Macaca mulatta: one gene and its partners. The protein of the gene in region 4 binds, or shares a complex with, the protein of the main gene of each other region. Links are inferred from orthologs where the notes say so. Each region holds a gene or a part of one and is shown on either strand. Other genes may lie near its edges.

The links.
Region 1: LSM8 (region 4) and LSM4 share a complex: the UniProt entries of both Homo sapiens proteins name them as parts of the precatalytic spliceosome. The link is inferred for Macaca mulatta from reciprocal best matches to the Homo sapiens genes LSM8 and LSM4.
Region 2: LSM8 (region 4) and PRPF4 share a complex: the UniProt entries of both Homo sapiens proteins name them as parts of the precatalytic spliceosome. The link is inferred for Macaca mulatta from reciprocal best matches to the Homo sapiens genes LSM8 and PRPF4.
Region 3: LSM8 (region 4) and LSM2 share a complex: the UniProt entries of both Homo sapiens proteins name them as parts of the precatalytic spliceosome. The link is inferred for Macaca mulatta from reciprocal best matches to the Homo sapiens genes LSM8 and LSM2.
Region 5: LSM8 (region 4) and TXNL4A share a complex: the UniProt entries of both Homo sapiens proteins name them as parts of the precatalytic spliceosome. The link is inferred for Macaca mulatta from reciprocal best matches to the Homo sapiens genes LSM8 and TXNL4A.
Region 6: LSM8 (region 4) and USP39 share a complex: the UniProt entries of both Homo sapiens proteins name them as parts of the U4/U6-U5 tri-snRNP complex. The link is inferred for Macaca mulatta from reciprocal best matches to the Homo sapiens genes LSM8 and USP39.
Region 7: LSM8 (region 4) and LSM6 share a complex: the UniProt entries of both Homo sapiens proteins name them as parts of the precatalytic spliceosome. The link is inferred for Macaca mulatta from reciprocal best matches to the Homo sapiens genes LSM8 and LSM6.

The regions. Positions count from the first base shown.
Region 1 is NC_133424.1:18,849,963-18,854,062, reverse strand, and holds the start of LSM4 (U6 snRNA-associated Sm-like protein LSm4), read left to right. Parts: upstream 1-1,300; 5' UTR 1,301-1,406; coding exon 1,407-1,409; intron 1,410-4,100. UniProt on the Homo sapiens protein: Plays a role in pre-mRNA splicing as component of the U4/U6-U5 tri-snRNP complex that is involved in spliceosome assembly, and as component of the precatalytic spliceosome (spliceosome B complex).
Region 2 is NC_133420.1:45,029,425-45,032,924, reverse strand, and holds part of PRPF4 (U4/U6 small nuclear ribonucleoprotein Prp4), read left to right. Parts: intron 1-846; coding exon 847-934; intron 935-1,325; coding exon 1,326-1,405; intron 1,406-1,572; coding exon 1,573-1,666; intron 1,667-2,384; coding exon 2,385-2,479; intron 2,480-3,500. UniProt on the Homo sapiens protein: Plays a role in pre-mRNA splicing as component of the U4/U6-U5 tri-snRNP complex that is involved in spliceosome assembly, and as component of the precatalytic spliceosome (spliceosome B complex).
Region 3 is NC_133409.1:150,509,462-150,513,464, reverse strand, and holds the start of LSM2 (U6 snRNA-associated Sm-like protein LSm2), read right to left. Parts: upstream 2,801-4,003; 5' UTR 2,591-2,800; coding exon 2,588-2,590; intron 1,979-2,587; coding exon 1,911-1,978; intron 1-1,910. UniProt on the Homo sapiens protein: Plays a role in pre-mRNA splicing as component of the U4/U6-U5 tri-snRNP complex that is involved in spliceosome assembly, and as component of the precatalytic spliceosome (spliceosome B complex).
Region 4 is NC_133408.1:157,720,108-157,723,025, reverse strand, and holds part of LSM8 (LSM8 homolog, U6 small nuclear RNA associated), read right to left. Parts: intron 1,804-2,918; coding exon 1,676-1,803; intron 1-1,675. UniProt on the Homo sapiens protein: Plays a role in pre-mRNA splicing as component of the U4/U6-U5 tri-snRNP complex that is involved in spliceosome assembly, and as component of the precatalytic spliceosome (spliceosome B complex).
Region 5 is NC_133423.1:1,023,845-1,028,093, reverse strand, and holds the start of TXNL4A (thioredoxin-like protein 4A), read right to left. Parts: upstream 2,801-4,249; 5' UTR 2,747-2,800; coding exon 2,594-2,746; intron 1,098-2,593; exon of another isoform or gene 985-1,097; coding exon of another isoform or gene 949-984; intron 1-948. UniProt on the Homo sapiens protein: Plays a role in pre-mRNA splicing as component of the U5 snRNP and U4/U6-U5 tri-snRNP complexes that are involved in spliceosome assembly, and as component of the precatalytic spliceosome (spliceosome B complex).
Region 6 is NC_133418.1:38,743,441-38,745,716, forward strand, and holds the end of USP39 (ubiquitin carboxyl-terminal hydrolase 39), read right to left. Parts: intron 1,824-2,276; coding exon 1,737-1,823; intron 1,012-1,736; coding exon 964-1,011; 3' UTR 501-963; downstream 1-500.
Region 7 is NC_133410.1:154,723,916-154,727,938, reverse strand, and holds the start of LSM6 (U6 snRNA-associated Sm-like protein LSm6), read right to left. Parts: upstream 2,801-4,023; 5' UTR 2,741-2,800; intron 1,419-2,740; exon of another isoform or gene 1,315-1,418; intron 1-1,314. UniProt on the Homo sapiens protein: Plays a role in pre-mRNA splicing as component of the U4/U6-U5 tri-snRNP complex that is involved in spliceosome assembly, and as component of the precatalytic spliceosome (spliceosome B complex).

The DNA of each region.
Region 1 (4,100 bases), on a different chromosome or scaffold from region 4:
CACTCTGGTGGCTGAGGCAGGAGAATCCCTTAAACCCAGGACGGAGGGATTGCAGTGAGCTGAGATCCCACCACTGCACTGTAGTCTGGGTGATAGAATGAGACTCCATTTCAAAAAAAAAAAAAAAAAAAAATAGGGTCTTTGCAGATGTAATTAAGGATCTTGCGATGACATTATCCTGAATTTATGGTGGGCTTAATAAGAGAAAGGCGTGTCCTTATAAGAAAACGGAGAGGCTGGGCTCGGTGGCTCACGCCTGTAATCCCAGCACTTTGGGAGGCAGAGGAGGGAGGATTGCTTGACCCCAAGAGTTCGAGACCAGCCTGGACAACATAGGGAGACCCTGTCTCTACAAAAAAAGAAAAAAAAAAGGAGAGAGTCGTTTGAGACTCAGAGACACACAGAGAAGGCCAAGTGACGACAGAGGCAGAACGCGGAAGGCTGCATCTACAAGCCAAGAACTCCGAGGTTTCCCAGCAGCCACCAGAACCCAGGAGAGAAGCATAGGACACGCAGATTGTCCTCAGAGCCTCCAGAGGGAGCCAACCCTACTGACAACCTCATTTCATTATTCTGGTCTCCTGAATTATGAGAAAATCACGTTCTGTTGTTTTAAGCCTCCCAGTGTGTGGGCATTTGTTACAGCAGGCCCCAGGGAACTAATAGCATTCGCCTATTTACTTTGTTTACTGTCTGTCTCCCTAAGGGCCACGAATTTTGTGTACTGTTCATTTCTATGAGCAGAAGCAGGCACAGAATAGGTATTAAGTACTTAATATATGCCAGACGCTGTTTTAAGTGCTTTTACACGGTTTCATTCATTTCATCCTCATAGTAAGTAACGTTTTGGAGCAGACACTACTATTTACAGGGAGAAAACTGAGGCCCCGAGGGTCGTGGTCAGGATTCCAACCTACTAAATGATGTTCCCTGGATAATTACAGAATCAGAAAACTAGGAGTCCGAAGGGCGACACCAGGGACGTCCCAATCACCACGAAGCCTGGATTTCTCTCCCTCAACTGCAAAGGCAGTTACTGGCTTTGCCCACAGCGTGGAGCCCAGAAGACCGACGAAGGTTTCACCTGCGCACGCGTTTACCCACAATGCACCCCGCCCCGGCGCGCGTTGCTCCGCCCCCTTTTGTATTACAAGCCGCGGCACTTTACGGCTCTCTTCCTCGTTCCTCTGGCGGGAACACGGCCCGGCCCGCCCCTTTCGCCTAGCGGGCCCCGCCCCACTCCGCGTGGATTGGTTAACCGCCCTTCTAGCCCGGTGCTGACTGGCTCGCGTCTCTGCCACTTTCTTTCAGCCCAGTGGCGCGCGGCGCGGCGTGGCGAAGACCGCCGGGAGCGTGTGCAGCGGCGGCGGCGGAAGTGGCCGGCGAGCCCGGTCCCCGCCGGCACCATGGTGAGGGCAGAGCAACGGCGGGGTCTCACCGGGAGGCGGGAACCGCAGTCGTTAGGAGCCCTGCGGGCGGGCGCTGAGGGCTGGGTTGGCGCGGGGCGAACGTACGGTCCGAGCCTTGAGTCCCGTCCCCCGGCACAAGGCCGGGAAACTGATGCTGGAGACTGCAGGTGGTTCTACCACGTTCGTGTCTGGGATTTAGGGTTGCACGTACTCGTATCCACAGTACAGTGGCCTCGCCTTACTTAGTTTTCCCATTTTGCAGGTTGGGAAACTGAGGTTAAAAAAGTGGGGATCTGCCAAATGCAACAGAGAGTTTTTGGGCAGGGAAGGGGGTCCCTTACGCTTCGGACCCAGTCTGACCTCCCAGATTGAAACCTAGAGTGCTGGGAAGTAGGGGGCCAGTCTGAGTTGTGAAACTTGGTTTTAGGAATTTCAGAGCTTGTAAGATGCTTAAAATGCTAGCAGCAGAGCCTCCTAGGCCTCTTGTTTTCTGGCTGAAAAGTAGGCCTGGTGCTGGGGTGTGGTGTTTCTCCTTGGTTCACAAAGCATGTCATTCCAGAGGAAGGGAGCGTTTTGAGCTAGGGGTGGGCAAAGTACATCCTCCCCGTACACAGAAGGAAAAATTGCAGCCCAGGTCTCTGCAGGGCCACATTGTTTATGATTCTGTAAGTTCTGGATCTGGGCTAGAAAGTGCCTGTGTCTCCCAGTGTGCAGATCAGAAAAGGAATCCAGAGCTGGGAGTTTCCTGGCTCATCAGCATCTGGCCCTTCTTTTTTCAATGAGAGAAACCAAGGCCCTTGTTGGGGATGTGACTTCCAGACTGTGAGACAGTGGGAGATTCAGTAACCAGGAGGGCCCCCCAGGGGTGGCTGCATCAGAACTGTGGATTAGTGAGAGAGCTCTCCCTAAATCCAGCTGGTCAGTGTGTAGCCACCCAACGGGTTCACCTTGCCTGCTTCCTAGACAGAGCCCATTTATCAAGACAGGGCAATTGCAATACAGAAAGAGTATTTCACACAGAGCCAGCTATGCAGGAGACTGGAGTTTTATTACTGCTGAAATCAGTCTCCCCTGAGCATTAGGGGATCCGAGTTTTTAAAGATAATTTGGCGGGTAGGAGCTCAGGAAGTGGGGAGTGCTGATTGGTTGGAGCTTCCTGAGGTTGGAGATGGAGTCATTGGCGGGGGGGGGGGGGGGGGGGGGGCGGGGGCGGGGGTTGAAGTGAGATTTTCTTGCTGTCTTCTGTTCCTGGGTGGGATTGCAGGACTGGTTGAGCCAAATTACTGGTCTGGGTGGTGTCAGCTGATCCACCAAGTACAGGGTCTGCAAAATATCTCAAACACTGATCTTAGATTTTATAATAGTGATGTTATCCCTAGGAGCAATTTGGGGAGGTTCAGACTCTTGCAGCCAGAGGCTGTATGACCCGTAAACAATAATTTCTAATCGTGCAGCTAATTTGTTAGTCCTACAAAGGCAGACTGGTCCCCAGGCAAGAAAAGGGTCTTTTCGGGAAAGGGCTATTACCAATTTTGTTTCAAACTATACACTAAATCCCTTCCCAAGGTTAGTTCGGCCTATGCCCAGGAATAAACAAGAACAGCTTAAAGGTTAGAAGCACGATGGAGTCGGTTAGGTCTGATCTCTTTTCGCTGTCATAATTTCCTCAGTTACAATTTTTGCAAAGGCGGTTTCAAGAGCAAGGATTTAGAGAGCCTGTCCCTCTGCCATGTACTTAGAGGGCAGAGTTGGCATGCAAGACTGGGCAGAGCTGGAAGGATCCACCCGTGTTAAGTTTTGTGGAAGCAGAATCTTTTTTTTTCTTCCAACTATATTCCCAGTGTGTAGAACGGTGCCTGGGCAAAGTGTGAACTCATTCATTCAGCCCCTTCCCACCTTCTGAACATCCAGAGTCCTGGCTATCCAGCCATTTCCTGGAGGAGTGGCCAAGAATGGACAAGGCATCATGGGATACACACTTCCAGTTCCCTGTGATCAGGGCAGGGCCAGAAGGAGTGGCCTGGGTTAGGAGCGGGGATGGGCAGTCCTGGACAGCTTCCTGAATTAGGAGGCACTGGATTAGGTCTTTGTGGATCTAGACCTGAGAACCAGATTCCAGATGCTGCAAGAAAGCCCACTAAACCTCCACCTCTCGGAGAGAGTGATTTTCCTGCCTCAGCCTCCCAAGTAGCTTGGGATCACAGGCATGCGCCACCACGCCTGGATAATTTGTGTATTTTCAGTAGAGATGGGGTTTCACCATGTTGGCTAGGCTAGTCTTGAACCCCTGACCTCAGGTGATCCACCCACCTCGGTGTGTCAAAGTGCTGGTATTACAGGTGTGAGCCACTGCACTCTGTACTTTTTTTTCTTTTTTGGAACTGAGCTCTCACTGTCGTCCAGGCTGGAGTGCAATGGCACAATCACTGCAGCCTCAACCTCACCGGCCCAAGTGATCCTCCCACCTCAGCCTCCCAAGTAGCTGGGACCACATGCGTCACTAAACCTGTCTAATTCTTACATTTTTTGTAGAGACAGAATCTTGCTGTGTTGCCCAAGCTGGTCTCATACTCCTGGGCTCAAGTGATCCTCCCACCTCAGCCTCCCAAAGTGCTGTGATTATAGGCGCAAGCCACTGTGCCAAGCCTCACCTGGCACTTTGATGTATCTTCTTTTAAGATTTTGAGGATC
Region 2 (3,500 bases), on a different chromosome or scaffold from region 4:
TGATCCTCTAAGCCTAGTTAGATCCCCCTTACAAAGTCCCCTCTAGCACTGTGTGCTTACTGCTGTCGTGATAGGTAATATAATATAGTTCGCCAGTACTCTCTGTCGTTTCCCCAGGACTAAGCTACTTGAAATCAAGAACGGATTCTTAGTCATCACTGTACAGTTAGCACCTGAGTCCGTATCCAGTACATTGTGGCACTGAGTGAAAGTTGGCAGTCTTCACAAACCAAGTGGTAGCAGTGTAGGGGCTCATTGACTCTAAACTGCATAGAGTAATTGCTTATAGTTGAATTTTGGGAATTTCCAAATAGAGAAGACTGAGTGGGAGAAACCACAGTGGGAGTTTAGCCATCCCCACTTGACTCTTTGAAGGTTGTTGGAGGGCTGGGCATAGTGGCTTATGCCCATAATCCCAGCACTTTGGGAGACTGAGGCAGGAGGATCACTTGAGCCCAGAAGTTCAAGACTTGCCTGAGCAACATAGCAAGACCTTGTCTCTGCAGAAAAATTTAAAAATTAGCCAGTTGTAGCATTATACCTGTAGTCCCAGCTACTCAGGAGGCTGGGGTGGAAGGATCGCTTGAGCCCAGGAGTTTGAGGCTGCAGTGACCCATGACCGTGCCGCTGCACTCCACCCTGGGCAACAACAAGACCTCATCTCTTGAAAAGAAAAAAAAAAAAAAGGTTGCTAGGTGGTTTGAACAGTAAGAGAATAGTAGAGGCTTGCTCCCATCTTAGGGGAGCTTTAAAAACAGTGTTTAAAACTGTGTTAAAGTGTACTTTAAAAACAGTGTTATGTCAACCATGTTTAAATTCTGATCTTTTTTTTTTTTTTTTTAACAGGTTAAGAAATATCCTCTCAGTCGTCGGTACTGATGCCTTGAAAAAGACCAAAAAGGATGATGAGAAGTCTAAGAAGTCCAAAGAAGAGGTAGAACATGTCTTTAACTTCACAGTGTAAACATGAAGGAAATGAGGAGATAGGTCTCTCATTTTCTGCTTTCAATGGTTTGCTTTGCTAAGATGATGGAGGGAAGTGTCTTTGAAGGCTCTACCATTCAAGAATAGTTGCTGGCAGTAGTTTTGGTTCCTTTGTAAGTATGAATGGAGCTAAGTGAGTTTTCCAGTCAGGAAAGAATCATAGCATTCCTGGTATAACCATCTATTTACATATCATAGAAAAAAAATACGGTAGAAAGCCATATGCCTGATTTCATACTATTACCAAACGAATTCACCTTCCTTCTGGGCAGTTAACATGGAGAAACGACAGGAGTAGAATGCTTCAGATTTGACCTTTCTGCTCTTAATTTGCCTTTCAGTATCAGCAGACCTGGTACCATGAAGGACCAAATAGCTTGAAGGTGGCAAGACTATGGATTGCTAATTATTCATTGCCCAGGTAAAGAGAGCCTCCAGTAGAAGAAAGAAGCATATTTTGTGTGTGTGTTTCAGGAACTGAGTGCTTGATAATGACTGTGGTTGTTAAATGAAATTGAGGGGTAGAGATACATGTGGACCCTTGTTTACAACCCTGTTGCTCCTGGTGATGGTGTTTCTGTGTCACAGGGCAATGAAACGCTTGGAAGAGGCCCGACTCCATAAGGAGATTCCTGAGACAACAAGGACCTCCCAGATGCAAGAGCTGCACAAGTCTCTCCGGGTAAGATGCTCCCAGTGATTGTCCCACGTCTTAAAGGTTCTTCATATTTGTGTGATTTTTCTACTTTGGCCCACCTCTGGGAAGGTAGAGGTGACTAGAGCGATCCCTCCCTGCTTGAGCTGAGCTGCTGTGACATGGAAGGAGCAATCAGTTAACGTGACAGGAGCTTGCTGTGCTTTGTACTCAGCAGAGGCCTATGGTTCTCTTCTTTATTTCTCCCTGTTAATACGTCAAAGTTTCTCTGGGGTTTTCTGTTTATATTTATCTGACTCAGAAGTTGTGATACTAAGACTATAGAAAACAGCTGGGTGCAGTGGCTCATGCCTGTAATCCCAGCACTTAGGGAGGCAGAGGTGGGTGGGTCACCTGAGCTCAGGAGTTTGAGACCAGCCTAGTCAACATGATGAAACCCTGTCTTTACTAAAAGTACAAAAATTTGCCAGATATGGTGTCATGCGCCTGTAATCCCAGGTACTTGGGAGGCTGAGATGGGAGGATCGCTTGAACCTGGGAGGCAGAGGTTGCAGTGAGCCAAGATCACACCACTACACTCCACTCTGGGCGACAGAGCAACACTCTGTCTCAAAACCACAGAAGAATCTTGGGATGGGTTAAAACTGAAAAGTTGCTTTGTTGTTCTTTTTTTGGTGGAAAAGCCAAGGAACTCAGATTAACCTATTAATGATCATCGTGTGTGTGTGTTTTTTTTCTTTTTAAGTCTTTGAATAATTTTTGCAGTCAGATTGGGGATGATCGGCCTATCTCCTACTGTCACTTTAGTCCCAATTCCAAGATGCTGGCCACAGCTTGTTGGTAAGTTCCATTTTACAGTGACATTTTTTCCTAAATGGGGAACAGGCTCAGGAAAATATTAGCATTTGTCTTAGACGTCTATTTGTACGTCCTCTTTCTCTGCTTCTCATGATCACACCAAACTACAGATATCAGTCAGTGCTCTACCTGTTGTATAATATGATGCAGACTTGGTTTAGCCGTTCTCAGTCTTCACCAGTGACCCCAGAGATTCATTACACTCTAGCACTCTGTCACATTCTTGACACTAGTATTTTGGAGCAGGTCATGTAGTGAGTTTACAGACCAACTAGTATCCATAACTCAGTCTGGCTTTTCTTTTTCAGTTATGTGATCTCCCTAAGATACTTAATCCCTGTCAGCTTCAGTGTCCTTATCTGTAAAGTGGGATGAGGTAGTGTTTGTAAAGCATTTTGCCTTGACAGTGCCTGGTATGTAGTAAGGGCTCATTAAATGTTAATTATTGGTTTATCTTTGTTTTATTTTCTTATCACCACATACGCAGAAAACTCAGGATGTGGTAACTTTGTTGTTTTGTTTGAGTTTGGTTGTTTGGTTTGGTTTGGTTTTTTTTTTTTGAGATGGAGTCTCACTTTGTCGCCGAGGCTGGAGTGCAGTGGCACAGTGTCCACTCACTGCAAGCTCCGCCTCCTGGGTTCACACCATTCTCCTGCCTCAGCTTCCTGAGTAGCTGAGACTACAGGTGCCTGCCACCATGCCTGACAAATTTTTTTTTTTTATTTTTTTTTTATTTTTTTTATTTTTAGTAGAGACAGGGTTTCACCATGTTAGCCAGGATGGTCTCCATCTCCTGACCTTGTGATCCACCCGCCTCGGCCTCCCAAATGGTTGTGTTTTTTTGTGAGACATGGCTAACTAAAGAGAAAGGAAACTTAGATTTAATACACAGGAGCTACTTGACTAGGCCGACCTTGAGACTGGTTTAGGAGAAAGCCAAGGGACTGCACAAATCAGTCCACCTCTCCAAGCCTCATTACCTTCACTGTAAAGTATAAATGAT
Region 3 (4,003 bases), on a different chromosome or scaffold from region 4:
TTCCTCATATGTATAACAGCAATAGTACATATTACTAAGGAGTGTTTGAGAAATCAATCAATAAATGTATTCAGAATAGTGCTTAGTCAATAGGTCTTCAGATATTATTTTTCTTTCCTTAAGCACCTATCATACAACTGGCCTATACTAGGTATTAGATACACAGTAGCATATCTAATACGTAGGTTTCACCATGTTGGCCAGGCTGGTCTCAATCTCTTGACCTTGTGATCCACCCACCTCAGCCTCCCAAAGTGCTGGGATTACAGGCATGAGCCACCATGCCCAGCCTATGGCCTGTTCTGTTTTTTTGTTTATTTTTTTGAGATGGAGTCTCGCTCTGGTCGCCCAGGCTGGAGTGCAGTGGTGCCATCTTGGCTCACTGCAAGCTCCACCTCCTGGGTTCATGCCATTCTCCTGCCTCAGCCTCCCAAGTAGCTGGAACTACAGGCGCCCGCCACCACACCAGGCTAATTTTTTGTATTTTTAGTAGAGATGGGGTTTCACCATGTTAGGCAGGATGGTCTCAATCTCCTGACCTCGTGATCCGCCCACCTCGGCCTCCGAAAGTGCTGGGATTACAGGCGTGAGCCACTGCGCCTGGCCTGGCCTGTTCTTTTTTGAGACAGTCTTCCTCTGTCACCCAGGCTGGAGTAAAGTGGTACAATCATGGCTCACTGCAGCCTCGACCTCCTGGGTTCAAGTGATCCTCCCACCTCAGTCTCCCGAATAGCTGGGACTACAGGCATGTAAACCACATCTGGCTAATCTTTTATAGAAATGGTTCTATGTTGCCCAGGCTAGTCTCGACATCCTGGACTCAAGTGATCCTCCTGCCTCAGCCTCCCAAAGTGCTGAGATTACAGGTGTGAGCCACCATGGCCAGCCTAGTACTTACTCTTTATTTATTTTTTTTGAGACAGAGTCTCACTCTGTCACCCAGGCTGGAGTGCAGTGGTGTAATCTCAGCTCACTGCAACCTCTGCCACCCAGGTTCAAGCGATTTTCCTGCCTCAGCCTCCCAAGTAGCTGGGATTACAGGCACCTGCCACCATGCCTGGCTAATTTTTGTATTTTTAGTAGAGACGGGGTTTCACCATCTTGGCCAGACTGGTCTTGAACTCCTGACCTCGTGATTCACCCACCTCGGCCTCCCAAAGTGCTGGGATTACAGGCATGAGCCACACGTCCAGCCCATGAGCCACCACACCTGACCAGTATTTACTCTTTAAACTGTATATTGCTTTGTATTGTTTTCCAATACACAATACAATCCCCAAGCTTATCTGTAAATTTAAGGCACAAGGCATTTATTTATTGTTAAATTTTAAAATTTGTCTTAGAGATGGGGTCTTGCTCTATTGCCCTGGCTAGAGTGCAATGGAGTAATCACTGCTCACTGCAGCCTCAAACTCCTGGGCTCAAGCAATCCTCCCTCCTCAGTCTCCCAAAGTGCTCGGATTACAGGCGTGAGCCACTGCACCCCACCCATTTATTTCTTTTGTTTGTTTGAGACAGAGCCTCGCTCTGTCACCCAGGCTGGAGTGCAGTGGCGTGATCTGGGCTCACTGCAAGCTCTGCCTCCCAGGTTCACGCCATTCTCCTGCCTCAGCCTCCAAAGTAGCTGGGACTACAGGGGCCTGCCACCATGCCTGGCTAATTTTTTGTATTTTTAGTAGAGACAGGGTTTCACCGTGTTAGCCAGGATGGTCTTGATCTCCTGACCTCGTGATCCGCCCACCTCAGCCTCCCAAAGTGCTGAGATTACAGGCGTGAGCCACCGCACCCGGCCATTTATTTCTTCTGTACATATTCCACCTCACCCAGCCCTCAAATATTTCTCAAATTAAAGAGGTTCCAGGGCCCTGGGCACACCCACCCCCAACAGACTTGTTGGAACAGGTACCTACCTCAGGTCATTCTTGAGTTCCACGACCACATCCTTGCCCACAAGGGACTTGAAAAAAGAATAGAAGAGCTATTGGGAGAGAGGGGGAAAACCATCATGTGGGAAGGAACATGGTAGGGAGGAGTGTCCCTTGACAGTATTACCAAATACCGGTATTGTGAACCCCATTGCATCCCTAACAGTTCTCAAAATTTCACAGGAAAGAATAATTGGTTGAGAGGTGAAAGGCTGGAGCCCAAATTATTCTGCACACTGCATTGAGCCCATCACTTAAAGTCCCAGAGAGGCTCTGCCCTGCATACCTCGGCCTCCCCAGTGTGCTCTCTCAATCGACCACCTTTCTCGGGTACCTGCCCACTCCTTTCAATGAATTACAGAAAACATCCCACCCGCACCCTGCCGAAGCTTGCCTGGCAGAGAAGTGCTCTAAGGTCTAACTTTTCCGTCTCCCGCTGTCCCCACTGAATCTCTCTCAGGGTTGGGGTTTTTTTCCTCATCATGGAAAAAAAAAATCCCATTTGCTCTCAGGTGTCTCCTCAACGAACTTGAGGAACAGGACTAACGATGAAGATAAAAACTCCGGACCTAACTCCAGCCTAGGGGGACAAAGGCCAGACCCCCCTGCCCCAACCGTCCGAGATCCCCGAGGGCGACCCCTTTTGACGTCACGGTACCCACCATGGTGCTGGCGCAGCGGGCAGCGGGCCGGAGCGAGAAAAGAGCCGGATGCTGAGACCAGGTCTGGGAGAACCGAAGCGCGAGCCCGCGCGTGGGGCGAGGCGGGACCGCGCAGGCGCAGCGGGAAGGGACGCAGAACCCTCCAAGCGCTGAAGGGTAAAGCGCGGCCGACTTGCGGCTGGGGAGCGCAAGCTGGGTAAAACCGAGGGGAGGAGGAAGCCGGGAAAGGGGCGGGGTTTCCTTCGTTCCGACTTCTTCCAGGGCCGGCCGGCTCCCATTGCGCAGGCGCGGACCCTAGCCTGGGCTGCTAGGCGGGTGGAGGCACTCGGCGTCTGAGCTCAAAAGGTTTTGTTTTCCATAACCCTGCCGTCCACAGCGTGATGTGTTCGTGCCCTCTACACACATCCTATCGAGAATTGTGGGGAGTTTGTGAAGATTATGAAGTGTGCACTTTTCTATATTTGTTAAAGTAAAAACATAAAATTCAAAAAATAAAATTAAAAAATGTTTTTAATCTTAAATTCAGCTGATAAAAAAAAAAAAGGCCGAGGGCGGTGGCTCACGCCTTCAATCCCAGCACTCTGAGAGGCCAAGGTGGATGGATTGTGTGAGGTCAGGAGTTCGAGACCAGGCTAGCCAACATGGTGAAGTCCCGTCTTCACTAAAAATACAAAAAAAATTAGCCAGGCGTGGTCGCGGGCGCCTGTAATCCCAGCTACTCGGGAGGCTGAGGAAGGAGAATTGCGTGAACCCGGGAGGTGGAGGTTGCAGGGAGCCAAGATCATGCCACTGCACTGCAGCCTGGGCGACAGAGCGAGACTCGTCTCAAAAAAAAAAAAAAAATTGGCCGGGCGCGGTGGCTCACGCCTGTAATCCCAGCACTTTGGGAGGCCGAGACGGGCGGATCACGAGGTCAGGAGATCGAGACCATCCTGGCTAACACGGTGAAACCCCGTCTCTACTAAAAAATACAAAAAACTAGCCGGGCGAGGTGGCGGGTGCCTGTAGTCCCAGCTACTCGGGAGGCTGAGGCAGGAGAATGGCGTGAACCCGGGAGGCGGAGCTTGCAGTGAGCTGAGATCCGGCCACCGCACTCCAGCCTGGGTGACAGAGAGAGACTCCGTCTTAAAAAAAAAAAAAAAAAAAAAAATTGACCGGGCGCAGTGGCTGACGCCTATAATCCCGCACTTTGGGAGGCCAAGGCAAATGGATCACCTGAGGTCAGGAGTTCTAGACCAGCCTGGCCAACATGGCGAAATCCTGTCTCTACTAAAAACCCAAAAATTAGCCAGGTGTGGTGGCACGCGCCTGTAAACCCGGGAGGTATAAGTTGCAGTGAGTGGAGATCGTGCCATTGTACTCCAGCCTGGGCAACAACAGTGAAACTCTTGTCTCAAAACAACAACAACAACAAAA
Region 4 (2,918 bases):
CCTCCCAAGTAGCTGGGATTACAGGCATCCATCACCACATCAGGCTAATTTTTGTATTTTTAGGAGAGATGGGGTTTCACTATGCTGGCTAGGCTGGTCTTGAACTCCTGGGCTCAGGTGATCCACCCACCTTGGCCTCTCAAAGTGCTAGGATTATAGGCGTGAGCCATGGCACTGGAACCACACCAGCCACTTTTCTTTTTTTTTTTTTTTTGAGACGGTGTTTTGCTCTTGCTGCCCAGGCTGGAGTGCAGGGCTGTGATCTTGGCTCACTGCAACCTCCACCTCTCAGGCAAATTCTCTTGACTCAGCCTCCCAAGTAGCTGGGATTACAGGCTTGCGCCACCATGCCTGGCTAATTTTTTACATTTTTAGTAAAGACGTGGTTTCACCATGTTGGCCAAGCTGGTCTTGAACTCCTGACCTCAAGTGATCCACCCACCTCCGCCTCCCAAAGTGCTGGGATTACATGCGTGAACCACTGTGCCCGGCATTTTTTTTTTTTTTTTTTGAGAAGGTATCTCAATCTGTCACCCAGGCTGGAGTGCAGTGGCATGATCTCGGTTCACTGCAACCTCCACCTCCTGGGTTCAAGTGATTCTCCCACCTCAGCCTCCCGAGAAGCTGGAACTACACGCGCACGCCACCAAGCCTGGCTAATTTTTGTATTTTTAGTAGAGACAGGGTTTTGCCATGTTGGCGAGGCTGGTCTTGAACTCCTGACCTGATCCACTTGCCTCAGACTCCCAAAGTGCTAAGATTACAGGCACCACGCCTGGCCAATTACTCTTAAACTTTTATATCTGTCTGTCCCAAGTAAACTGAGGCCACAGGGACATCGTAAGTGTGTCAATGATACTAAAAAATTAAAAGAAAATGAATAACAAGTAAGTACTTATTTACAAATACATCTATGTTATTGAGCATGAATTAGTATTGTTCAAATGAGAGATTTCAAAACCATTTTTCAAACTTTGGCCTTGGACTCTAGAAATATGTTCCTCTAAAATTCTGGGTATTTCTAAGAACATTTGAAGAAGCCTCTCTAATGAAGTATTTAATATAAGGCAGGGCCCTTTCTGGACTCTAACCAGGCTACTTAACTAGTAGAAAAATGGGAAAATCTCAGGTAAGTTTAATTTGTAGAGAGAAAGCTTTGGTTGAAACATAAAGTGTTGACATAAAATGTATAGCTATGCCTTACTTTATGCAAATATAAGAAACGCTGTATTTACAAAAGAAATGAATGCAAGATTCTATTAATTACATATGGACAATACAATAGGGTACTTTGGGTAAAACCTCTTCTCCATAAAGTAAGGCAGTATCGGCCGGGCGCGGTGGCTCACGCCTGTAATCCCAGCATTTTGGGAGGCCGAGGCGGGCGGATCACAAGGTCAGGAGATCGAGACCATGGTGAAACCCCGTCTCTACTAAAAAAATACAAAAAATGAGCCGGGCGCGGTGGCGGGCGCCTGTAGTTTCAGCTACTTGGGAGGCTGAGGCAGGAGAATGGCGTGAACCCAGGAGGCGGAGCTTGCAGTGAGCCAGGATCGCGCCACTGCACTCCAGCTTGGGCGACAGAGCGAGACTCCGTCTAAAAAAAAAAAAAAAAAAAAAAAAAAAAAAAGTAAGGCAGTATCATTTATAATTTTAACAGATATATTTTACTTACACGTTGTCACCTCTTACAATGTATAATCCTAGTACCACTTGCTCTACCCCCTGTGAAGAGCTGAATACTCGCTCATGGCTTTCATCCAAAATCAAATTAATGGTCTGGTCAAAACCTTTCAGTGTTCCCTGTAAAGAAAATATTCAGGAGAAAAAGAGAAATATTCTGGTTTACCTGAAAGTGTAAATTCAGCCTCACAATCATTTCAGTTGCTAAGTATTCCAATACAAGTAACAATACAATGTCAAATAAAATACCTTTTTTATAACCAACAGTATTCGAGGGTACACAATTTACCTCTTGGTTGTTTGGCTGGGGTGGGGGTCCTGCACCACACATCTCACTCATATGCAGAGTTGACGGCAGTTAGAAACGACAACTATGTACTAATTTGAGTATCTCCAAAAAGTAACTAGCATAAAAGCTTACGAAGACCAGCAGCTAAAGGTATAAACTAAAACAAAGGAGATTTAAGGGAAACTGATGGGCAAATATACATAAATAAGGAAGAACCATACATACCAACTACAGCAATGTAATGTATCACTATATGCTACATACCAGCACTAAGCAGTGTGCTAAACACATCGTACACATTGTCTCAACTCATCTCTACCCTTTAATACTATAATTAGCCCCATTTCAAAGAAGAAACTGAGGCACAGAGTGGTGTGTCTTATGGGCACATGGGTAGTAAGTGGCAGAGCCAGGAGATGAACCACAAAAGACTAGCTCCTGAGTCAGACCACTAAACCGTAACATTCTATACTATCATGCACAAGTAAATATAATTTGCCATTTTTCAGAGATTCAAATCAGTCCCATAAATATTTTAAAAATTTAGTAGTTACATATAACACCTAACGAGTACTTACTAGTTACCGGTGCTCCGTCTGTCTCACATGTATTGTTTAATGTGTATCAAATGGATGTATTATTGAACTCTCCCAGTAAGGTAGATACAAATGTGACTATACTAATTAGAACCAGAACTTGAAGGAAATAATCAGGGAGAGTTTTATGAAAGTTTAGAATTGAATAAAAGAAGGCATGGGTCTAGCATAACAGAGTAACTCAGATGGTATTCAAGTTTCTGAAGAATTATCAACTAACATTGGTTTTGATGGTTAAATCTCTCAAGCTCTTAAACTGTTTTATCCTCTGAAAGTCAAAATATATAAAATGAGAATTAAATAAAAAGAAATCTATAACTTGGAAGAGAAACAAAATATGGAGTATTTAT
Region 5 (4,249 bases), on a different chromosome or scaffold from region 4:
TGTTTCCAGACTAACTTTCTTCCTGAAGTTCACAGCTCAGCTCTAACCCAGCATGAGGCCAGTGGGCCTTGTGGAAGCAGCAGATCAATACAACACATCCAGGAAAAAATCGTATCAAGTCCAGCCGAACATCTGCAACTGTTACTCACTTTAAAACAGCTGGGACATCGACAGGACTCTTAACAAGATAAGGAAGATTCTCCATTATCTGCCATTTCTGCACAGGGAAATTTTTAAATAGTTATATTGTTCTTTATACTAAAATCTTACATTTCAAAAATTTCTGTTGAGTTTCCCCAAAAGAGCTTCCAGAATTAGAAAGTCATATTTTGCCCATATACTAAGAAGAAAATAAAACACGAATAGTCTTTTAATGCATTTCAGGTTTGCACTTATTTTTGGAGACAGGGTCTCACTCCTGTTGCCCAGGCTGGAGTTCAGTGGTATAATCATGGCTCACTGCAGCCTTGACTTCCCGGGCTCAGGTGATTCTCCCACCTCAGCCTCCCAAGTAGCTGGGACTACAGGCATGTGCCACCACGTCTGGCATTTGTACTTTTAGTAGAGAACGGGTTTCACCATATTGTCCAGGCTGGTCTCGAATTCCTGGGCTCAAGTGATCTGCCTACACTAGCCTCCCAACCAAAGTGCTGGGATTACAGATATGAACCACCGTGCCTGGCCTAGGTTTGCGCTTTTAATAATTATACTATAATATTTGCATTAAAAGTTTATTAATAAAGCAATCCAAATTTTTGGACAGAAACAAAAATCAAACTATTTTAAAAGACCAAAAAAAAAAAAAAAATACCCCAAAGTGAGCCCATTTCAACTGTCCTTAAGTGTGTGTCCACTAGTGATACAGTGATTCATTCTGTAATAACAAAGAAATCGGACATAAAGGAATTGGAAAAAAAGAGCAAATCTGGCAAAGACCCTAACACTTACATTAACACATAAAATCTGTTTCCTAGCTAAGAGCATCTTGCTGAGCTCTGCCTGGATGTGATGAGACAAAGGCCCTCACATCGCCAGCCATCCTAGCCTCGAGCTGCCGGCAGCAGGATCTGAACACCAGCTGATGTTTATGCCACCACCTGCAAGGTAGAACAGTGAAAGATTCTAGAACTCGTAACTCAAAGTCAGTGATTTACAAGCAGTGATTTACTTATTGGGAAACTGCTCTTCGTCAATTCTTCGCTGGATTTCCAGTATCTGCCCTTGTCCACTACAAGTCAAGCAATGAAAAGCTGATGTGCTGGCACTGCCTCACTCATCATCTCTAATCCCTGGCTGGCAGAAGCCCCAGTGTGAGAGAACTGCTGCTCTCCTGATTCCCTAGGCAGCTCCTCAAGTCCTCAGTGTCCTGCTGTCCAAGAGGAAGAGGCTGGGAGATGGCTGGTAATAAAGCACTCCGCCTCTGTCCCTGACCCCCATGGAAGGGTTTCTGAGTGTGTGGTTCAAGGTCAGGTCACATCAGAATTCCCTGAGGGGCTTCTTTAAAAAGCCATTGCTGGACTTCACCCCACACCCATAGACTCAGAATCACAGATGCATTTTAGTAAGCACTCCAAGAGATTCTTGTAATAACTAAAATATAACAACAGTTCCTAACATCACACCTCTCCTACTAAATAAGAAATAGCAAGAATTAATAAATGGCAGGCCAGACAGTCTTTCCTTTCCTCAATATAAAATGTCTTTATATCTGTTACTCTTTACTCAAAGGAGTTATTTTAACCCAGCCTACTTTAGCATCTGTGAAAGAAAAGATAGCTTCAATGTTACTTTTACTCTTCATCAAAATGAATAACCGCTCAAATTACTTACGGAAAATTAATATGGCAAATATTTTATTAACACCCTAGTATTTGTGCCCTTTGCCCTATTGCTACAGCTGCAAAACCTAAATAAACGCCATCCTAAAATTGCTGTGAGGAACCACAGAAAAAGAATGAAACCTGGTTATAGTGTCCCACAACTTTTATTGTCAGCAAGTAAGTGCCAAGGCCACTCAATGTACTAATATTAGAAATTCAGAAAACTAGTTCCAACAAAGCATAGTTCTATTTTCTCCCGATGTTTTCTGCATCTTAATCACTCTAAGCTATAAATCACATGACTTACAAAAAGCGCGGTGGAAGAAAACACCAACAGAAAAACAGGATTTCTTATGCTATTAACATGAAAGTTCTGCTTTACACATACAACAAACAAACAGGGCACCAGAAAAGGGCATCCTTTTAAATTAAGGATCTGCGCTCTCAAAACCTGCAAGTGTTACTTTGTTCACTGCACTGTAAGATTGGGAAAAACGCCTTACCAACAGAAATAATGAATTCCTTCGAGGGGAGGGGGATCATAAACCCTTTAAAACGTGAACAACTACAGGAGCTCCCTGCAGAAAAAGGCGCGAAACGCCGGCACAGTCCCCGAGAGCGCTCGCCCGCAGCGCGGGAAGGAATCGCCCGGACAACCGCGCCGCGGCCCCTCCTCGGGGAACGGCTCGCGCCCCCAGGCGAGGCCGGCGGGGCAGAGGCGCGGGGCCGCTGCGGAAGCACAGCCAGCAGGGCGGGAGGGCCCGGCGCGCTACCTTCTCGGCGATGCTGTATAGGACCTCGTCCATCTTCATGCAGGTGGGGTCCCAGTCGTGGCCGAAGCGGATGACGACCACGCGGTCCTCCTCGGAGAGAATGGCCTGGTCCACCTGCCAGCCGTTGTGCAGGTGCGGGAGCATGTACGACATGGCGACCCGCGCGCTCGCCGCCGCCCGAGGCCGGGCGCCAGGGAGGGCCCAGCGAGGTGGTGGGCTCAGCCGGCCCCTCACTCCGCGGCCCCCGCCGCCCCCGGGCCCACAGCCGAAACCCGGTCCCACCCACACCCGCAAGCTCCGCTGGCACTGCCGCCGGGCGGAACCTCTGGGCGCGCACGCACCGACGCCGTGCGTGCTGACGTCATGCGCACGGGCTGGCGCCGTGCGTGCTGACGTCACGCGCGTACAGACGCCGCGCTAGCTTGTCGTTGGCCGGCGGGAGCGGCGGCGACCTGGCCACGGTGGAGCGCGGTTGGTGCCCTCCTAGCCGGCGTCGGAGTGGGGGTTCCTCCCCAGCGTCCAGGCGGCCTGGTGGTCCTGAGAAGCCCCGGGCTCGCCGTGCCCTGCCCCGACGCACCCGCCCCGAGGCCGCCCGCCGCCGCCCGGGCTGTCCTCCAGCCACGGATGGGGACGTCTTCAGAAAGGCCCGGCATGCCCGGCACTGCGGCTCGTTTTTTTCCTTTCTGGTGTCTGTTTCGGGTCATCGTTTGTGCTGTGTGTTAGCGAGACGGTTCGTGTGTGTCATTTGTGAAACTTGACCATAAAAATGTGTCGTTGTTGCCATACCCAGCCACGGCAGAGCCGAGCAGCGGGGTGGGGGGAAGCACTGGGCAGGCCGTCCTTGAGGAATGTCACCGTCAGGCCGGCTGCTGAGCTGCCTGTTGTAACCCGAAACCAGAGTTTTTGTCTTTTTATAAAGAAAAAAAATTTTTTTTGAGACGTTGTCTCGTTCTGTCGCGCAGGCTGGAGTGCAGTGGCGTGATCTCGGCCCACTGCAGCCCCCGCCTCCCGGGTTCAAGCGCTTCTCCTGCCTCAGCCTCCCCGTAAGCTGGGACTACAGGCGCCAGCCCGGCTAGTTTTTTTGTACTTAGTAGAGACGGGGTTTAACCATGTTGGCCAGGCTGGTTTCGAACCCCTGACCTCAAGTGATCCGCCCGCTTCGGCCTCCCAAAGCGCTGAAATTACTGGAGGAAGCCACCGCGCCCGACCTGAAGCCAGTTTTATTGCATAGCTTCAGCATAACTTGCACCTCCAGGACTGATCTGGCTCCCCCGGCTTCGCTCCCCAGACCCTTACTGGTGCCTATGAACTTTCTCCAAGAGAAATAATATTTCTCTTTTTAAAATAAAACCTCTAATCTCTGTTCTTCTGAGAGAGCACTTTGGGTTCATGTTAGAGACTCCCCCTGGTTTGCAAACTGACATTGACAGTAAAACTCTTGTCTACTATCCAGCCATCCTGGTGGTCCTTTGGATGACAAATTGACAACAAATCATGCCCGGGCGCGGTGGCTCAGGCCTGTAATCCCGGCACTTTGGGAAGCCGAGGCCGGTGGATCGCCTGTGGTCGGGAGTTTAAGACCAGTCTGACCAACATGGTGAAACCCCGTCTCTACTAAAAATACAAAAAAATTACCCGGGCGTGGTGCCGCGCGCC
Region 6 (2,276 bases), on a different chromosome or scaffold from region 4:
TGAGGCTGACTGGCTGCCTCCAGCTGCTTCCCACATCTTTGGACCTGCCACAGTGCTCATGCCAAGGTCACCCTTCTTCTAGGCTGCTAGAGCCCACTACAGAGCTGATGAATTGTCTGACAGGGAATCTTTGCCCTGGGGCTCCACACTGGCCTGGTTGAGACCTTCTCAGAATTGCACTGTAGTGAGAAGAACTTCGTATTTCCTTTCTTTCCTCTTCCCTTACTCATTCCTGCACTGCAGCCGGAGACTGCCCACCTCTGGCCTTCTAGTTAAGCACAATAATAATGTATCCCCTTGACTCAAGCATTTTTCTACTTAGAAATAAATGCATCCTAACTGACACACCACCCACAAGCTGACAGGAAACGGCGAGCATGGTGTCTGCCAGATGTCAGACTGTAGGGTAGTTTGTGAAGATTAAAAAGGAAAATATTTTCCTCAGCTAACCACCAAATGAAAAGATATAAAACAAGAGGCTAGTTTAAAAACAGGAGAATATTTAATCCATCTAAAAATACACATCAGGAAATGAAGGAAACCATAGGAAAATCCTCCACCTCTAACAGACAAGAGTGAGGTTACTGGCTTTCTGCTTGCTCCAAGAATCCCAAGGCTTGATGTTTGGAAGAAATTATCTGTTCTTCAGCTACTCCCAGATACTCAGACATAAGTTACACACATCTGGAGAAGGGTTCTGCCCTGCTGAAGCTAGAAGGGAGCTCGATGCATGGGAGAAAGGAGCATTAATCTAGAAAAAAATGATCAAAGAACAGCTGGGTGACAGTGTGGGGCCATCCCAGGCAAGTGGGCTCCTGGTGCTCTGGTGTAGCCAGAATCCATACAAGCTGGGCTGGCCCAGGGAGGCCCCCAGTCAGCCTGTAGCTGAATAGCTACAGCTTCTGTGTTCTTATTTACCATCATCAGCCACAGCCCTCGGAAGCAAAGCCCTGGACGCCTCCTTCAAGCCCCCTGCTGGTTGGTTTCATCATTATCTCGCCTCTTCCAAATCTGTAAGAAATGAAAACACAAACTGAAGTCTAGGAGGCATTCAGTCAACAGATACTTGTCAAATACCTATTCTGTGCCAGGCCATGGATAACTCGTCATGCCATTTACAAACCTGCTATACTCCATCTGGAAATCTGCTACAGTGGCTACAGTCACTGAAGGGAAGAAACAGTTATCTCTAGGAGAGGTATCACTTTCTTCTTACAAAGCTATGGCTTTTGTCTCAATCTTCCTTCTTTTGCCAGGTACTAGGGCAGTTACATAAAGAGAAGACAGAGATGCTCTGTGCTCCACGGGTCAATCCAATGGAGAGGACAGACAGGCAAAGCAATATGGTCGGCACTAAAACAAAAGGCAAGCAGAAAGTGCTGTGGGGTCACAAAGAGAGCTCTGCCTGGGGCTCTTGAGGAGTACTTCACAGTCGACTTCTAGCCAGCCTCCCTTCCTCCTTGAAACTAGACCGCACACTTCTGCAAAACTAATCTAGCCATAATCACAACTTTCTTTGCTCACTCATACATTTTCTTATAACTATTTTCTGAAAATCTCTGCTTGACTTTCAGGGCCATATATTCTGGCCCCAACTCACTCCTAAGTACTTCCCAACAGGTACCTGGCCCTCCAACCAAGGTCCTAACTCTATCCCTCTTCCTGCCTTGGCCCACTCCTCTCACTGGCCCCATACCCCACCTATTTGTGGCTCACTAAGCCTGTGGCCAACCCACCTGAATGTAAGCCTCTGACAGTGTGATCATCTGGGGAAGGATGTCAGTCACCTGGAGGTCTTGTAATTCATACCATTTGCCTGTCCCCTGCAGAAAGTATGAAGAGCTGGGTTAGTCTGCTCTCTAAAACCAAAAGGGTGTAGAAGGAAATGATCATAGCCAAGGTTAGAAAAATTAGAATAATAGCCACTAGACATCATCCAGCAAGAATCATAAAGAAGAGAGTACATGGGCCGGGCGTGGTGGCTCACGCCTGTAATCTCAGCACTTTTGGAGGCCGATGCGGGTGGATCACAAGGGCAGGAGATCAAGACCATCCTGGCTAACACGATGAAACCCCATCTCTACTTAAAATACAAAAAATCAGCTGGACGTGGTGGCGGGCGCCTGTAGTCCCAGCTCCTCAAGAGGCTGAGGCAGGAGAATGGCGTGAACCTGGGAGGCGGAGCTTGCAGTGAGCCGAGATTGCACCACTATACTCCAGCCTGGGTGACAGAGCGAGACTCTGTCTCAAAAAAAAAAAAAAAAAAACAGAGGGTA
Region 7 (4,023 bases), on a different chromosome or scaffold from region 4:
AAGCAAAAACTTGCAAGGAAACATTACAATCCAAGTAACTGCAGCACTAGACTAACAGATCAGTGTCTGAGGAGGCGATCAGACACGGAGAAGAACAGCTCTCCAAGTCCTCCCTTCTGACACAGTGGAGTGCCTCGCTGTCTTGTGAAGGCTTCATACCAATCCCTCCTTCCTGAGCAGCAGGCGCTACTTCTCTCCCTCTCTCCCAAAGGCGAAGTGAGTCCACTCAGAGCACCTCTTTCCACTCTCGGTCATGGTCCTTATCAGGCTGCTTTGTAATTTTTCCATTTGCTGACAGGTCTCCCATGGTGAGTTTTAAGCTCCTTGGGGACAGGGGAAATATCCTACTCACTTGGTATCCCTGGTACCTAAGCACACTGCCCAAGTCTGTGGAAGAGACATTCAAGGCCAGTGCCAAGCAAAATCCCTGTCCAGCCCCCACCAACCCAAACTATGGATACAGTGACTAGTAGGATCATGCACGTACTTCAACAAATACTAACCAAGTAATCTCTATTAGGACCACCAAAGACGGAGAAAACAACCCTTTCTGTCATTCAAGAACCAGCTGTTTCCAAATCTAGAGATGCTTGTTAAAATGCAGATTCCTGAAGTCTACTCAGGTAAAAGCACTGTATTTTACATTTTATGAAGTTCTCCAGATAATTTATTTAAGCAAATGGTTCTCAACTAGGGGCAGTTTCCCCAACCCCACCCCACCCTGCTCAGGGACATTTGGAAGTATCTGGGGACACTGAACTGTCAAGACTGAGGAAGGTGGTGCTACTGCTATACTAGTGGGTAGAGACCAGGGATGTTGCTAAACATTTTACAACAGGACCGCCCTCCACAACAAAGGACTGTCCAGCCCAAAATGTCAATGGAAGCTGAGAATCTCCGCTATAAGCCCTAAAAAAAAAAACCACCAACAACATTGTTCTTTGGTTTTAAAGTGAGGAGTTTTAAAGAAATCTCCAAAGTACAGCAAATGATAACCAAAAGCTACATTCTAACCAAATGATGGAGTGTAGATTATAATTAATCAGGGATGTTTTATTCTAACATAAAGGGAACCTGAAAACAACTGTCAAAATCTTGAAGGGGTTGCCATTCTAAATAATGGATTTCTAGTCTTAGCCATGAAAATAATCACTTTCCAATTTCTCAGTGTTACAGGTCCCTCCGATCATTAATCTGTTAGTACACTTTTAAAAGGAGAGAATAATCCAGGTGATGTAAACAAATTTTTAAATTCTAATATCTACTATGCCACAGTTCAGTGAGAGACTGCCTGATGCAGCACAGGGTACTCACTTGGGAGGCAGGAAACCTGAGTTCTAATCCCAGCTCTGCTACTTAATTAGCTGTGTGACTTGGATAACTCATCATTTCACTTCTCATGGCCCCAGGTTCCTCATCTGCAAAATAAGGGAGTTATGCCAGATGACCACTTAAGTCTCTTCCTGCCCTAACATTCAGGTAGTAACGCATTAACTCCAGTGACACACACACACACACACACACACCCACAAACATAAGCCTCTCAAGATTTCTGTACAATATTCAAGCAAGTAAAATTGCCAAACACCTGAAAAACTTTTTTGGAAAACACTGCAGCAATGTGTACGAAGGCCTAAAAAAGGCCTTACAGATGAAAGCATCTAATCTGATAATTTCACTTCTGAGAATCTAGTCCAAGGAAATAATCTAAAAAATAGGGGGGAAAAGGTTTATCAAAGTATTATCTGGGGTGCTAAGAGATTCAAAAATTCAAAAACAATCTATAATATCCCACAATCGGGAAATGACTGAATAATTTATGGGACCTACATTGCGATCCACAATGAGGGACAGTCAATCAAAAGAAGATACAAAACTAGAATAATATTTAGGAAGAGTTTTTAAATGGAAGTGGTAAACTATACTGTTAAGTGATTAAACATGTACACTCCTAGCTCAAGTAGAAGCTAGCATACACAGGAGAAAAAGATTGTAGGTGAAAGGGTTGTGAATACTATTTCTTCACTAAAGTCTTCCATGTTTGCAATTTTCTACAATAGTCACATATTACTAAGAGCAGTGGGGTAGGGTAATCCGCTTCATCCTAATGCTACACATCTTAAAAACGCCTGCTATGCACGCGCGCGGACACGCGAACGCACAGAAAACCTCGGGCAATAGGACTTAAGACCATACAATTGGGTTCCTAGGCCTGACAACTCAGTAAGACAGGCGAGTCGAGTCCTTAATTCCTGTGGTCAGGCGCAGCCACCCCGATGTAGGGAAGGGTTAGCAATTCCCTGAAGCCCTGGAAGACTGGCGAAGCCTAGGCCTGGGTTCGGGATCCGCTTTCCCGCCGAATCCTGGGATTAGCCTCGGGGCTCCCTGGGGAACTTCAACAACCTCAACTGGTCTCGGACGCCAACTCGGTGGGAGCCGGGACGGTGCCGCTACTCTCTGCGCAGTCTAAGCACCTCGCTGAGGGCGGTCCCGGCGCCCACTATCAGACCTCTCCGGCCATTCCGTGAGCGGAGAGCTTGGACGCGGCATTTCGCGGAAAGCTGCCACTCAGCGGCCCCTTCCCGGAGCCCCAGCCCGTTCCCCTCAGGCCCTTTCCGGGGCTGCCTCGCCCGGCCTAGGGCCGCTGCAGCCGCCGCTCCACAGCGCGACTGAACACTGGGGCGTCGAACCCGGGGCTACGCCCGGCCCCGTCATCGGCCCGCGCAGCCGTGCGGCTCACCTCGCGGGCGGGATCCAGAACCCTCACTCCAGGCGCCCCACGAGTCCGGCCTCCGCGGATGATCGCAGCCAAAAGCGAAACCGCCGAGGCAGCGGCACTTTTCTGCCTCGGCCAATCACTGCTCTTCTCTGCTACGGCAGCCCGCTGGGGCCGAAAAGCCTGTCAGCGCCGAAGCGCGCAAATCCGAGAATCCTGTTTTGTCTAGTAGCAAAATTGGTGCACTGGAGTTCCTCTGACAGAAATCTGAATACAAAACAAATATAATATAAAACAAAAACAAAAATCCAGGAAACTAGAAGTGATCTTTTGTCCAGGATTTATTTGCAGAAGTGTAAAAAATAACTTGAAGTCATAGGAAACTGGAATTTACTGTTTAAGTAACGGCACTGTGTACCCAGAAACGTCCTTGAATAGTTTAAAGCAAATAAATAAATAAAACACCTCAAGTCTTTAAATCTACCTCTGGATATTTATTAAATGTGTGAAGACTTAAGCCATTTTAGCAAGAGACTGTTTCCATGGCAATGTTGATTAAAAAATAATTAAAATCACTCAAGTAACTCCGAATTATAATGACATTAATTGTGTTACATTAAAAACTTGTTCCAATTGGAAATGGTGTGCAGACATTATTTAAGTGCTACTATGGGAACTTGGTTTGGAATTTTGCATGAATTCTCAACACTCTTTCTATTAATGGGATTGGAAGGGGGAAAAAAGAGAACTGTTACCCCAAGACTTGATTCCTTTACTCTCATCAGCTGAAAACTTACTTTAATTTTATTTATGGTTTGTAACGCTACACACAAAGCAATAAGATCTTCCAACACAGATCCTTAACCCCATTAGGTGTTATAAAATCTAAGATGCAGAATTTTTTTCTGAGATAAAGAATTCCTCCCTTGTAACCTTCTTTTGGCTAAAGGCAGAAGAAATGAACTTTTGATTGATATCAGGGACAGAAAACAAGTGGATGTGATTTGGTAAAGAATAGAGACTTCCTTATATCCTTCTATAAAAGCTCAGTTTGGGTAAAGACCAAACAGTTACTGATTTATTGAGAGGACTGTATTTGAAGTTCTTGCAATATAAAATATAATATAAATAAAAATTTTAAGAAAAGTACTGTTTAAATCAAATAATTACTTGCAAAGTACAAACATAACAGGATAAAAAGGCCTGTTCCTAAAAACTTTCTTTGCAAGACATCAAATTGCACATTCCTTACTGGTTGTTTAAATTATTAAAAAAAAAATAAAATAAAATTTTGATTCAAACTTCTT